Linked DNA regions of Canis lupus familiaris. The protein of the gene in region 3 purifies or fractionates together with the protein of the main gene of each other region. This does not show direct contact. Links are inferred from orthologs where the notes say so. Each region holds a gene or a part of one and is shown on either strand. Other genes may lie near its edges.

Evidence for each region.
Region 1: the proteins of MET (region 3) and GAB1 purify together in Homo sapiens (affinity purification with western blotting; 3 studies listed by BioGRID and IntAct, with this or other methods). This does not show direct contact. The link is inferred for Canis lupus familiaris from reciprocal best matches to the Homo sapiens genes MET and GAB1.
Region 2: the proteins of MET (region 3) and PLXNB1 purify together in Homo sapiens (co-immunoprecipitation; 3 studies listed by IntAct). This does not show direct contact. The link is inferred for Canis lupus familiaris from reciprocal best matches to the Homo sapiens genes MET and PLXNB1.

What each region holds. Positions count from the first base shown.
Region 1 is NC_049240.1:741,756-745,403, forward strand, and holds part of GAB1 (GRB2-associated-binding protein 1), read right to left. Parts: intron 3,022-3,648; coding exon 2,420-3,021; intron 1,220-2,419; coding exon 1,134-1,219; intron 943-1,133; coding exon 639-942; intron 1-638. UniProt on the Homo sapiens protein: Adapter protein that plays a role in intracellular signaling cascades triggered by activated receptor-type kinases. Plays a role in FGFR1 signaling. Probably involved in signaling by the epidermal growth factor receptor (EGFR) and the insulin receptor (INSR).
Region 2 is NC_049241.1:41,069,944-41,073,591, forward strand, and holds part of PLXNB1 (plexin-B1), read left to right. Parts: exon of another isoform or gene 1-1,564; 5' UTR 1,565-1,617; intron 1,618-2,189; 5' UTR 2,190-2,195; coding exon 2,196-3,302; intron 3,303-3,648. UniProt on the Homo sapiens protein: Receptor for SEMA4D. Plays a role in GABAergic synapse development. Mediates SEMA4A- and SEMA4D-dependent inhibitory synapse development. Plays a role in RHOA activation and subsequent changes of the actin cytoskeleton.
Region 3 is NC_049235.1:55,754,539-55,758,656, reverse strand, and holds the start of MET (hepatocyte growth factor receptor precursor), read right to left. Parts: upstream 2,888-4,118; 5' UTR 2,869-2,887; coding exon 1,666-2,868; intron 1-1,665. UniProt on the Homo sapiens protein: Receptor tyrosine kinase that transduces signals from the extracellular matrix into the cytoplasm by binding to hepatocyte growth factor/HGF ligand. Regulates many physiological processes including proliferation, scattering, morphogenesis and survival.

The DNA.
Region 1 (3,648 bases), on a different chromosome or scaffold from region 3:
ACAAGCAACCTCATTGTTCTTAGAGAATGACGTCAAACCTACTACTGATCTCTAGTCTGATTGGATATCCTGTACTCTGGAGAAGAGGTTACAAAATAGCAGCCAAAGACCACGTCTAGTCTGTACAAGTGTTTGCTTTGGTCTGCAGTACTTTTTTTTTATTTTTTTGTTTTTAAATTAAACAAACTGATCAAACTCAAGAATCAAAAGATGATACGCACAAGAGATGAAACTTCTGGCTTCTCCTGATACATCAGATGATTTGCCTGTGTGGGCCCACAGCAGACTCACAAGTCAACAAAGGACTACCGCCCAGGAGCACTCAGTTACTCCATTTGGAGCGGGCAAGTGCATTTGAGTTTCTCCTAATTTTCTCCTGTTGTTTGCCAACCTTGTGAGTATTTTAGTTTGTAACCTCTGCTCTAGAGACAGGAGACAGAAATCTCACCTGGGCATCAACATACAACAATTATTAATCTACAAACAACAATACTGCACTAAAAACAAGTTAATGACTAAGGTACTATGATGTACTTCAGAACTTCCAGTCCCGATTCCATTTTGGATTTAACGACCGGTAAGTGCAGCTGGCAACACCCCTGCCCCCTGCCCCTTGCATTGCACCGTGCCCTCCCTACCTTTCCTGTCAGGCTTGAGGTTCCTATCCACGGGAGGTGGTTCACAGTCTGCAACAGGAACTGGCCTTCGGGGAGGGGTCTTTGGGCTGGACCGGAAGCCCATGTGAGCAGGAGGAGGAACTTGCATTCCGAATGAAGAAAAATCAAATGTTCCTGGAGTCATTGGCACATAATTTGCTTCCTGAATTGGTTCCGTAAAACTGCTGGAATGTTGTCGTGGAGGAGAATTGGGATTCATTGGGACGTAATTTTCATCCAGTTCTTCATTTGATACACTTCCCACTGTCAATATATTTTTGATTTTCTAAAACACACAGACATTTCTCTTAATAAACACAAACTATTATCCAACGTGAGAACACGATTCTAAGTCACACCTATTCATACGGATCTGAGGGGACTTTTATCTAATGACCTCATTTAGTCTCAGGGCACTGAGTGTGGAGATCCTGACAATGAAATGCATTTGATGACACCAAGGTCAAGTATACTTACAAAGTGGTTATGGAAGCCTTCAAGTGAACTAGACCTGTCACTTGGAAATGTTCGTGGGATATCATAGCAGTCTTGAGAACTACCATCTAAAACAGAAAACAAACGATCAGCATTTCCTCCCATTTTTACCAGTTCTCAGGGTTTTCAGAATGGTCTCTTCTCTCTCTTCACACACATGCATGCGGGTATGCGTGCACACACACAGATTTTTAAAAAGACACTAACAGAATAATATCTTGAAAGGGTGCATTAAACCACCGGCAAACGCAGACACTCACTAAATGCTAACCAGTACCAGCATTTGATTATGAATGTCTAAGTCTGGGATGAGATGGGTTATTTAAATACTACTCTTTTCTCGTCTTCTGCACCACCTTGGGTCTAACTCATATTTCACTAACCCGTAATGAGATTACAGAGCCACTTTGAGATGGGAATTAGAAATTGGTGCTGGATGGCTGAGTCAAATCTCCACATTAGTACTCTTCATGATGCATCAAATCTTTATTTTCTTTAGGACTGGTGGGAAACTCTACCACAAAATATAGAAACGTTGGCACATAGTTTTTAGGGCATGTGCATCTTAAACTCTGGCTTTCTATTTCTAGGACTTTAAGAACCTTAGAGTGTAACCCAGACTGAACTTCTCTCCTCTGAGGTCGGTAACTTTTGGCAAGCTCTAGGAGATGGCATATGACTAAGTGAAGTGGCTAGGGTAAGGGGAGAGAAGATTCAGAACTTTAAATAAAACCAAAAAAAAGCAGAATGGCACGACTGGAACTGAGTATACTTGTTAGACACTACATACAAATTGCTTGTTGAGGAAGGAAGGAAATGGAGCCCAGCAGATGTGACACAGAAGCGGCCATAATGGCACACAAATACAGGAAAGGGATGACTTGGAGAACTTTGTGGCTGCTCCATTTCCTGTGTCTCTGTCCCAGCAGAGAGTCTACCCACCCAGGATACATGGAAAGCAGAAAAGAGGGGTGCACACTTCCTGAGGCAGGAAAGGATCTCTAAGGCCATACTTCTTCAGGGATGAAAAACTCCAACTCTTTCTCCCTCCAGCAGAACATGCACTCAGGCGCACGCTGCATGCACAAACACCCTTCCCAGGATCTACTGAGACTCTGATATCTTCGCTACATGAGTGGGTAACTCCAGAGCTGAAGGAAGAAAAGGACTATCATTTAACATCATACTATGCTAAAAAGAACAAATATTCAGATGCACAGATTTTCTATCATTAACCTCTAACACAGTAGAAGCCACTTAGAGCTGACCTTTTCGCAATTTGTTCAAATCCACAGTGGAAATGGTATTACTACGTGATGGTGGCATCCCTGCTGTAGGGATACAGTAACTACTGTCAGTATCTGAGGCCGTGCGTGTGATACTGCACGTTTCCACAGGAGATCGGTCATGAGCTGGATGTGGTTTCGGTGGCCGAGGAGGAGGAAGATCTGGAATAGTGTCTAGCTTTGACGTCTGTCCCAAAGTTCCTTCTGGAAATGTTCGTGGAATCTGGTAAGTATTACCAGGTGTTGGAGGAATGTCATAACTAATAGATACATGCCTCATTTGAGTCTCTACACTTGATGTCCCAGATGGGGTATTAAAAACATAGAGTTCTCCATCTGCCTCGGTACTGGATGGAGACACCTTTGGTAAAACATCGTGGGAGTAGCTCCTGGGCAGGTTATAAAGGCTGGAGTCTACAGAAACAGAGGCAGCACGAGACGGTGGAGAGTCATACATCATTTGCTGCTGAAAAAAGCCATTCACTCCATGTTTGCTCTGGGAGGAAGCAGGATTTTTATGAGAAGGGACGTTATCATTGCAGTCTGTTTCAGAAGAGGTGGATTTTGCAGAATCAGCATGTGTTCTAAATAAAAATTGTTAATGACAGAAAATAAAACATGGTGAAGACATAAGACTACATTTTAATAAATATATTTATAGCTCAGCAATCAAAATACATGGCTTTTCTCATTCGATTTTTTTGTGCGATCCGTAAGATTTAAAGCATGAATGCTTCTTAGTTTTTATGATTACACCAGACAACACAACCACCACCACAAAACCACCAAAAGCATTCTCTCTAATTCCTGTCCTGTCCCAGCCCACACCCCCAACGGCACCTATTAAATCCACACATAAAACCCTGATCCCTGAGGCACTAGAATTAGAAAGGTACACAACTCCAAGAAAGGTAAATGATTAAGGCATAGACACAAGGAAGAGCATTTCCTCTGAAGAGCATGCAGAACCCTTGGGCCAACACCGTTTACCAAGTAGGTCCACTTGTTCCTTACTCAGCCCACCTCTGGCACCTGCTGTTCCGTAAGACTGTGGGATTGCAGAAATTCAATGTCATCTACAAGGAGGTGGCAACTTGAAGGCTTTTGTATATCTTTCTTTCTACTAATTTTCTGTAACAAACATTTAGCCAATACTATAAAGATGATCAAAATATAAGCCACAGAGTTTGCAAACTCCGAAAAAAAAAGAA
Region 2 (3,648 bases), on a different chromosome or scaffold from region 3:
GGACACTCTGCCCGTAGCACATCCCTGAGCAGGAGGTGGCCGGAGGGAGTGAGCAGTAGCTGAGTGCAGGAGAAAGCCTCTCCCATTCTCAGGCAGACTCTGTCTTCCCAGAGTAAGAAACTTTCCCCCCATCCCTTGGAAACAAGGTGGGGGGCTTCTGGAACCCTGGCCTTGCCATAGTCCTGGGTTCACGACTCTCCCTACTATCCCCTTTCCCCCACCCCCTCGGGTAGCAAACAGAGGCGGCCTTGTTCCTGCTCCCATAGAGCTGCCCTGTTCTCCACACACTAAAAATGGAAACCCCCAAGCTATTTTGGGAGCAGTGCCCAGCTGGGCTGTGGCCACTGCTCCCCTGCTCCCACCAGGCTGCTGGACCCTTCTCTGAGACTTACGCCCAGCCTTCTCATTGCGGGACAGTCTCAGCAGTACCTTGGCGGGGTCTTGGCTGGGAGGAGCTGACCCTGGGCTGAGGGAAGCTCTCCCTCTTGCAGACTGGCAGCTGGGGGCGGGAGGGGCTGGGCAACGTGGGCTGGGCAGAGGCCGAGTAGAAGTTATCTCCCGGCCTGGGAGCAGCATTTCATCAACCTAGTGTTCCTGACTGGGGACCACCCGGGGCTGGGGAAGATAGTGTTGCCATGGTTTTCAGCTCCCAGCAGGCCTTAGCAGGGGCTTACAGGGAGGGATCTGTGAGGAGAGCAGGGACCCAGGGTCTGAGGAGACCCCGGGGGTGGGCAGCAAAGCTGGACATGGTGACTTCTGGGACAAGCCTCCCCCAACCCTGGGCCCTGGCTCTGCTCTGACCTGCAGGAGAAGAAATAGCAAGAGATATGCTGGCTTCCAAGGCTCTGTAGGCCTTAGGGCTCGAACCAGGGAAGTGCGCATGAATCTGTGTGTGTGGGTGTCTGAATGTGGGTGGGTGTGACATCTGCTTGTGTGGAATGCCTGTTTGTGCAATATGTGTGTTTGTGTAAGGAGGTTGTGTCTTTGTGCAGGTGTCTTAAGTGTGTGTGGTATATGGCCTGTGTTTCTCTGTGTGTCTGTGCTATGTGGACGTGTTGCATCTGCATGTATCTGCATGTGTGCAAGTGCCTGTGTGCTTGTGTGTGGGCGTGTGCATGCAGTGCCAGTGGCATGTATGTTTCTTTGTGTATGCAAGCTTGTGTTTCCCTATGTGCCAGTGTCAGTTTGGGCTAGGACGGTCCCTGGCCTGTGTGGTACCTGGGTGCCCTGATGGAGTTTGGGCAGAGGGTGAGAAAGAGTTCCAGGAAGGGAGAAGGAGCTGCAGAGGGACAGGGCCATCCTGGGGTGGGGTGGGGCTGGGCTCTGCCAGCTATGGGGCTCCTTCCTAGCTGCCCTTTCCCAGGCCCTGAGGGTGCCTGGTTCCACTGCCCTCCTCCTCCCTGTGTGGGCTCTGAGGAGGCGTCCCCTGTGGAATGTGTTTGGTGGCTGAGGGCCAGGCTGGGCCCAGTTCCACTGGCAGGCTGGGCAGCGGGAAGGGGAGCCTGGGCTCCCACATGCCTGCAGCCCAGCCCCCAGCTTCATGTTCTGCTATCTCCCTGGCTAGGTGACTCCCACACAGGTCATGCTGTTATCTCCTGATCCAGTCAGCCCTGCCAGGTGAGCCTGACCTCACACCTAGGCACTTGGGAGAAGTGTGACTCCTTCTTATGGCTCTCCAAGGTGGGGTCTAGTTTCTCAGACCCCAGCCCTGGCAGCCTCAACCTCCCTCATCTTGTCATTGGTTCTGTGGTTTCCTTCTGGATTCCTGGCCTTTTCAGAGGGGTCCTCTCAGTGCTCTGAGCCTCTCAGGGCTCTGGGCCTCTCCTTCCCCTCACTTGCTCTCTTGCCTATTCCAGGCCCCAGTCCCCTGGGGTTGGGTTGTTTCCCACATCTCTGCCCCACTGGCCGCTTACCCTCGGACCCTGTGGTGACACAGGCCAGGGCAGGGCAAAGGGGTGGTGGGATGGGATGGAGGTCTCCTGAGACCATAGTGCTTGCAGAAAACGAACAGTGTTGAAGTTACCAGGAAAAGATCTGACCCCTTGCTAGTATGTGGTCCTGGGGTCATCCTGGACCACAGTGCCATCTAAGCCTGGGCCTCCTCTGCTCACTCCCTGGGGTTAGGAGAATCATCTTGGTGATGTGATCCCAACAGTGGCCCTTCAGCACTCCATCTCTCTCCTTGCCAGGTGACCATGCCTGCCCTCGGCCCAGCTCTTCTCCAGGTGTTCTGGGCTGGGTGGGTTCTCACCCTCCAGCCCCCTCCACTGGCTGTTTTTACTCCCAATGGCACGCATCTGCAGCATTTGACACGGGATCCCACCTCAGGCACTCTCTACCTAGGAGCCACCAACTTCCTGTTCCAGCTGAGCCCTGGGCTGCAGCTGGAGGCTACCGTGTCCACGGGCCCTGTGCTAGATAGCAGGGACTGCCTGCCACCTGTGATGCCAGATGAGTGCCCCCAGGCCCAGGCTACCAACAACCTAAACCAGCTGCTCCTGGTGAGCCCAGGGGCCCTGGTGGTGTGCGGGAGTGTGCACCAGGGGGTCTGCGAGCTGCGGCGCCTGGGGCAGCTTGAACAGCTATTGCTGCGGCCCGAGCGCCCTGGGGACACCCAATATGTGGCCGCCAATGATCCTGCGGTCAGCACAGTGGGACTGGTGGCCCAGGGCTTGGCTGGGGAGCCCCTCCTCTTCGTGGGGCGAGGCTATACCAGCAGGGGTGTGGGGGGTGGCATCCCTCCCATCACAACCCGGACCTTGTGGCCGCTGGACCCCCAAATTGCCTTCTCCTATGAGGAGACGGCCAAGTTGGCTGTGGGCCGCCTCTCTGAGTATAGCCACCACTTCGTGAGCGCCTTTGCACGTGGGGCCAGTGCCTACTTCCTGTTCCTGAGGCGAGACCTGCAGGCTCAGTCTAGAGCATTTCGTGCCTACGTGTCCCGAGTGTGCCTCCAGGACCAGCACTACTACTCCTATGTGGAGTTGCCTCTGGCCTGCCAGGGTGGCCGCTATGGGCTGCTTCAGGCTGCGGCTGTGGCCACATCCCGGGAGGTGGCCCAGGGCGAGGTGCTCTTTGCAGCCTTCTCCTCAGCCGCTCCCCCCACTGTGGGCCGGCCTCCGTTGGCAGCTGCCGGAGCATCTGGAGCCTCTGCCCTCTGTGCCTTCCCTCTGGACGAGGTGGATCGCCTTGCTAACCGCACACGAGATGCCTGCTACACTAGGGAGGGCCGTGCCGAGGATGGCATCGAGGTGGCCTATATTGAGTATGATGTCAACTCTGACTGTGCACAGCTGCCGGTGGTGAGTCCCAGCTGATTCCTGTCTGGCATTCACAGCCAAGCAGCTGCCCGAGGACTCTGAAGGGAAACTAGTGGTGGTGTGGGGGCTGATCAGGTCAACGGAGGGAATGTACTTCCATTGTGCCTGGGTGGTGGAGAGATACCTTACTGAAATTGTGGCGCTCAGGTTTTGGAGAGCCATTCATAGCTGGGCTTGGACTGGGCTCTGTAGAGGTGGTGTTTGTGTGGGTAGACTGAGGGTGTTTGGGGTCCTAGGGTATGGGGCAGGGACCTAGAATGTAGGGAGTTAGGCCCTGTTTCAGGTTTTTGAGCAAGAGCCTGGTGAGGTTGAGACTTGTTTGGCTCTA
Region 3 (4,118 bases):
TTATACAAAGTTATTTGAGGGGCGTGTGGGTGGCTTAATTCTTGAGTTAGGCTCAGGTCATTATCTCAGGGTTGTGAAATAAAGCCTTGCATCGGGCTCTGCACTCGGAGTGGAATTGGCTGCAGATTCTCTTTCCCTCTCCCTCCGCCCCTCTCCCTGCCCCTGAGTGCACGTGCACACATGCTCTCTCTCAAATAAATAAGTAAATAAATAAATAAATAAAATCTTCAAAAAAAGAGCTATTTGGAGTTTCCATTTGGGGAAGTATCCCAGACATTTCAGCAAAAAGTGAACCAAATGTTTTTGAATTCATATGTCCTTGATACCCTTCAGCACATTAGATATTCTCTTTCATCAAAGATATGTTTAATATCCTTCTGCTTACAATTACAAGCTTTATTACTGAGACTGAAAACTGATAGAGTCGTGAGATGTGGATTTCTGAAGTCAAACTGTCTTTAGAAAAGCTATACTATTTGTTCATCTAATTATGATCACGAGCGGTCGTTATGTTAGGAGGCATACCCAGGTTCATATGCTTGAATGTGGGTCCAAACCAAGGGAGCCCAAGGCCACAATGAACTCTGGATTTGGTGTTCTTCCTCTAGCACCAAGTGATCTGGTGCTAGTAGGATAAATCCTCTGGCTATGGCTGGTAGCTTTAACTATATGTAAGTTAAACCAACAAAGAATGTTTCTAACATCTGTGAAAATACCATTTCATGTAGGTATAAACAAGTATTGATGAAAATATCAGTATTTATAAATATCAAATACCAACCAGGTAAAAAGTATCTAGCTAGCAGGTGATACACACAGGTCCATTCACGTAGAAAGTCCACGCAAGTTCCAAAGGAAGGATTTGGGAACAAAAGTTTCCTCTACTTTTCTAAGTTCTTCAGAGAAGTGTATTAGCTCATTTAAAAATATTTGATTTACCAAGATTTTAGAAGAGATTTTTGTTGTTTGTTTTTAGTTTAATTTTCTTTACATAATGCCCAGAATGTAAACCATTCATTTGTATATCAGTGAGCAAATGGGGCCTCATAAGGCAAAAAGCCTTTAAAACTCACAAATTAACTTGGGCTTCTCATCTATATGTTGTAAAGACTATACTGAGATCTCAATAATTGTGTTTTACAGGAATTGCTGTTGTGTTAAACTTTGTGTAAATCTGACCAGAACTATTAAAGCTTAAATGAGAAACAAATTTAATAATCTTAAGTGTTGACAACCATGTAAACCTAAACTGTAAAATATCTTTTCATAGAACCACATTAACTTTTTCTCAAGTTATGATTTTACATTTATTTCTTATTTTATTTTTAAAGATTTTATTTATTCATTCATGAGAGACGAAGAGAGAGAGGCAGAGACATAGGCAGAGGGAGAAACAGGCTCCCTGCAGGGAGCCCGATACAGGACTCGATCCCAGGATCCTTGATCACACCCTGAGCCAAAGGCAGACGCTCAACCACTGAGCCACCTGGGCGTCCCTGATTTTACATTTAAATGAAGATACAATATCTAAATTTTCTTGGAAAGAATGTACAAATATTATGGATAAAAATAATTTACCAGGCACCAAAAAGCCCTTGATATTCTTTTCTGGACTGGTACTTATTCTGACTTATACCTTATAAGTGGGAAATGAATGTGACTTACCCTATTAAAGCAGTGTTCGTGGTTGGGTCCATAAAAGTGCTGAAGACATCTCACATTGTTTTTGTTGACGATCTTGTTGAAGAATTCATTGACATATTTGATAGGGAACGCACAGACGGCAGAGCGATTCATTGGTTCAGCAGAATCTGGCTTGCTTTGTGCGAACACTCCATAGAGAATGTCATCATTCAGGTTGGCACCTATTTGTTTAGCGAGATGGGCCCCAGGCTTACTGACATATGCAGCTTGGAGAATATTAAACACTTCCTCCCTTGTGGATCTCTTTCTTCTCTTTTCCGTGAGAATACACTCCAGAGGCATTTCCATGTAGGAATGCAATCCAGAGTCTACAGAACAGAACCTGATTATTCTCGTGTGAAAAGTCTGAGCATCTAGAGTTTCTCGCTGGACTGTCAAAAAGTAAATAAAGTGGTTGCTTTCAAAGGCGTGGACATATTTAATGGGGTAGGAGTCTCTGAACTCCGGTAGAACATCAATGTAAGACTGGTCTGTCAAAAACTTGAACCCATCTTGCGTTTCCTTTAGCCTTCTCACCGATATCGAATGCAATGAATGATCTGGATGGTCCGAGGAATTTATGGTATTGCCTACGAAGAAGTTGATGAACCGGTCCTTTTCTGATATCAGGACTTTGGTTCCTAGAGCACTCACCACACAGTCAGGGCACTGGCTGGGCTCTTCGTCTGCCTGTGAGGAGTACATGCAATGCACTTCCGACTGTATGTCAGCAATATTGCTGGGTGGAAGGATATGTCGCTGGCAGGTCCCTCTGTGGACACTGCCACAGCTAATGAGTTGGTCATCGTAGTATGTGTCAACAAGCAGAGCCATGTTGATGTTATCTTCCCAAACACCACCTGATAAATTGGCTTTGTGGCTGCAGTCCTGACATGGGGAACAATCTGGGTGTTCCAGCACGGGCCCAGTCTTGTACTCAGCAACCTTCTGAAGGTCTTTGTCATTTAAAACGTAAATATAGTTAACTGCACCAAGGTAAATATGATGCTTGTGTAAAACAACATTCTGGATGGGTGTTTCGGCAGTGAAGTTGGGAAGCTGATACTTCATGTTCACATTCATCTCAGACTTTACTAGTGCCTCTTTGCACTCCCCATAGCTCTTCTGCACCAAGGTAAACAGAAGCACAAGGATGCCAGGTGCAAGCACAGCAGGAGCCTTCATGGTGAGAAGCATATCTGCCAAAACATGTTCAAAGAGAGAGCAGTTTAGTTGTCATTAGAAACAAAGAAGAAACTGAAAGAACCATACCAGTTAAACTATTAGAAACAAATCTTCCTAACAGGAATTTTTACATCAAGTGAAAATAAAAAACTCTAGCTGATTTCACATAATGATGCATTGTGCAGATGGACATGACTCCACATAGTTTAATTTTAGAACTCAAGCCATGAACGAGTAATTTTAGAGAACCATTATGAGATGCAAACAATGTTCTGTATTAAAGACAATACACCCAACTAAGTTGGACTCATTTAGCAATGAAGTCAGAAACAGCAAATTTCTTTCTTAACCTCTTGCTGGTTGTTTAATGTGGTTTAATATCTGTGGTTAATGACTAGGTTGATATTTAAACTTTCTTAGTTAGTCAAGTAAAGGAACTGTGGTTCAGATTCATTTATTCTAGAAATCACAGCAGGCATTGTTTCCTTGGGAGCATGTAGAATTACTAGGCTAAATTTAGCTTCCTTTTGGAAGAAAACAATCATAAATTCTAGAAGCAATATGATCACATGCTGTTTATAGGAATTTGTGTGCAGAGGAAAGGTATGGTTATAATTTGGCTATAGCTGACCTATTGTTTTGGATAGACAAATGCTTAACTTAATGTAAGATCACTGGAAACATAAAAACAGCAAGCTGAAAATTTGTAAAATAAAATATAATGTTCAGGACTAAAGTCCTAGAATTATTTCTTGGGGAAAAACAACATATTGTTCATTACCAAGTCAAAAGCTATTTAGTAAAACAAAAAACAAAAAACAAAAAACAAACACATTATTTTAAGATTCCATTGTATGCCCATGGACAATATTTCTAACTAGTTATCCTGAGTGCATTTGTTTTTCTGTTTCAAAAAACTTAAAGTATAGGGCTATAAACAAACATTGTTAGTTCTACTCATAAAAGTTGTAGGCAGGGTGGTACCTTAGAAAGGAGGCCTTAGAAGGAATAGAAACAAAATAGCTAATTACTTTTTTCCCTCCATTTTTAGTGTATAATTCTGATAGGAATCTTTAAAAACTTGTTTGGCATTATAACCATGCCAAAGACTAACCCTAGGTCTACAAAATCATAGCAGATTTCACTAATAACTAGTATGTGTATGGCTCTGTGCTTGCACTTTGGAAATGGGATTTGGTATTTATCTTTCAGTGAACCTACAGTGTGGTTGAGAGACAATACACATATGC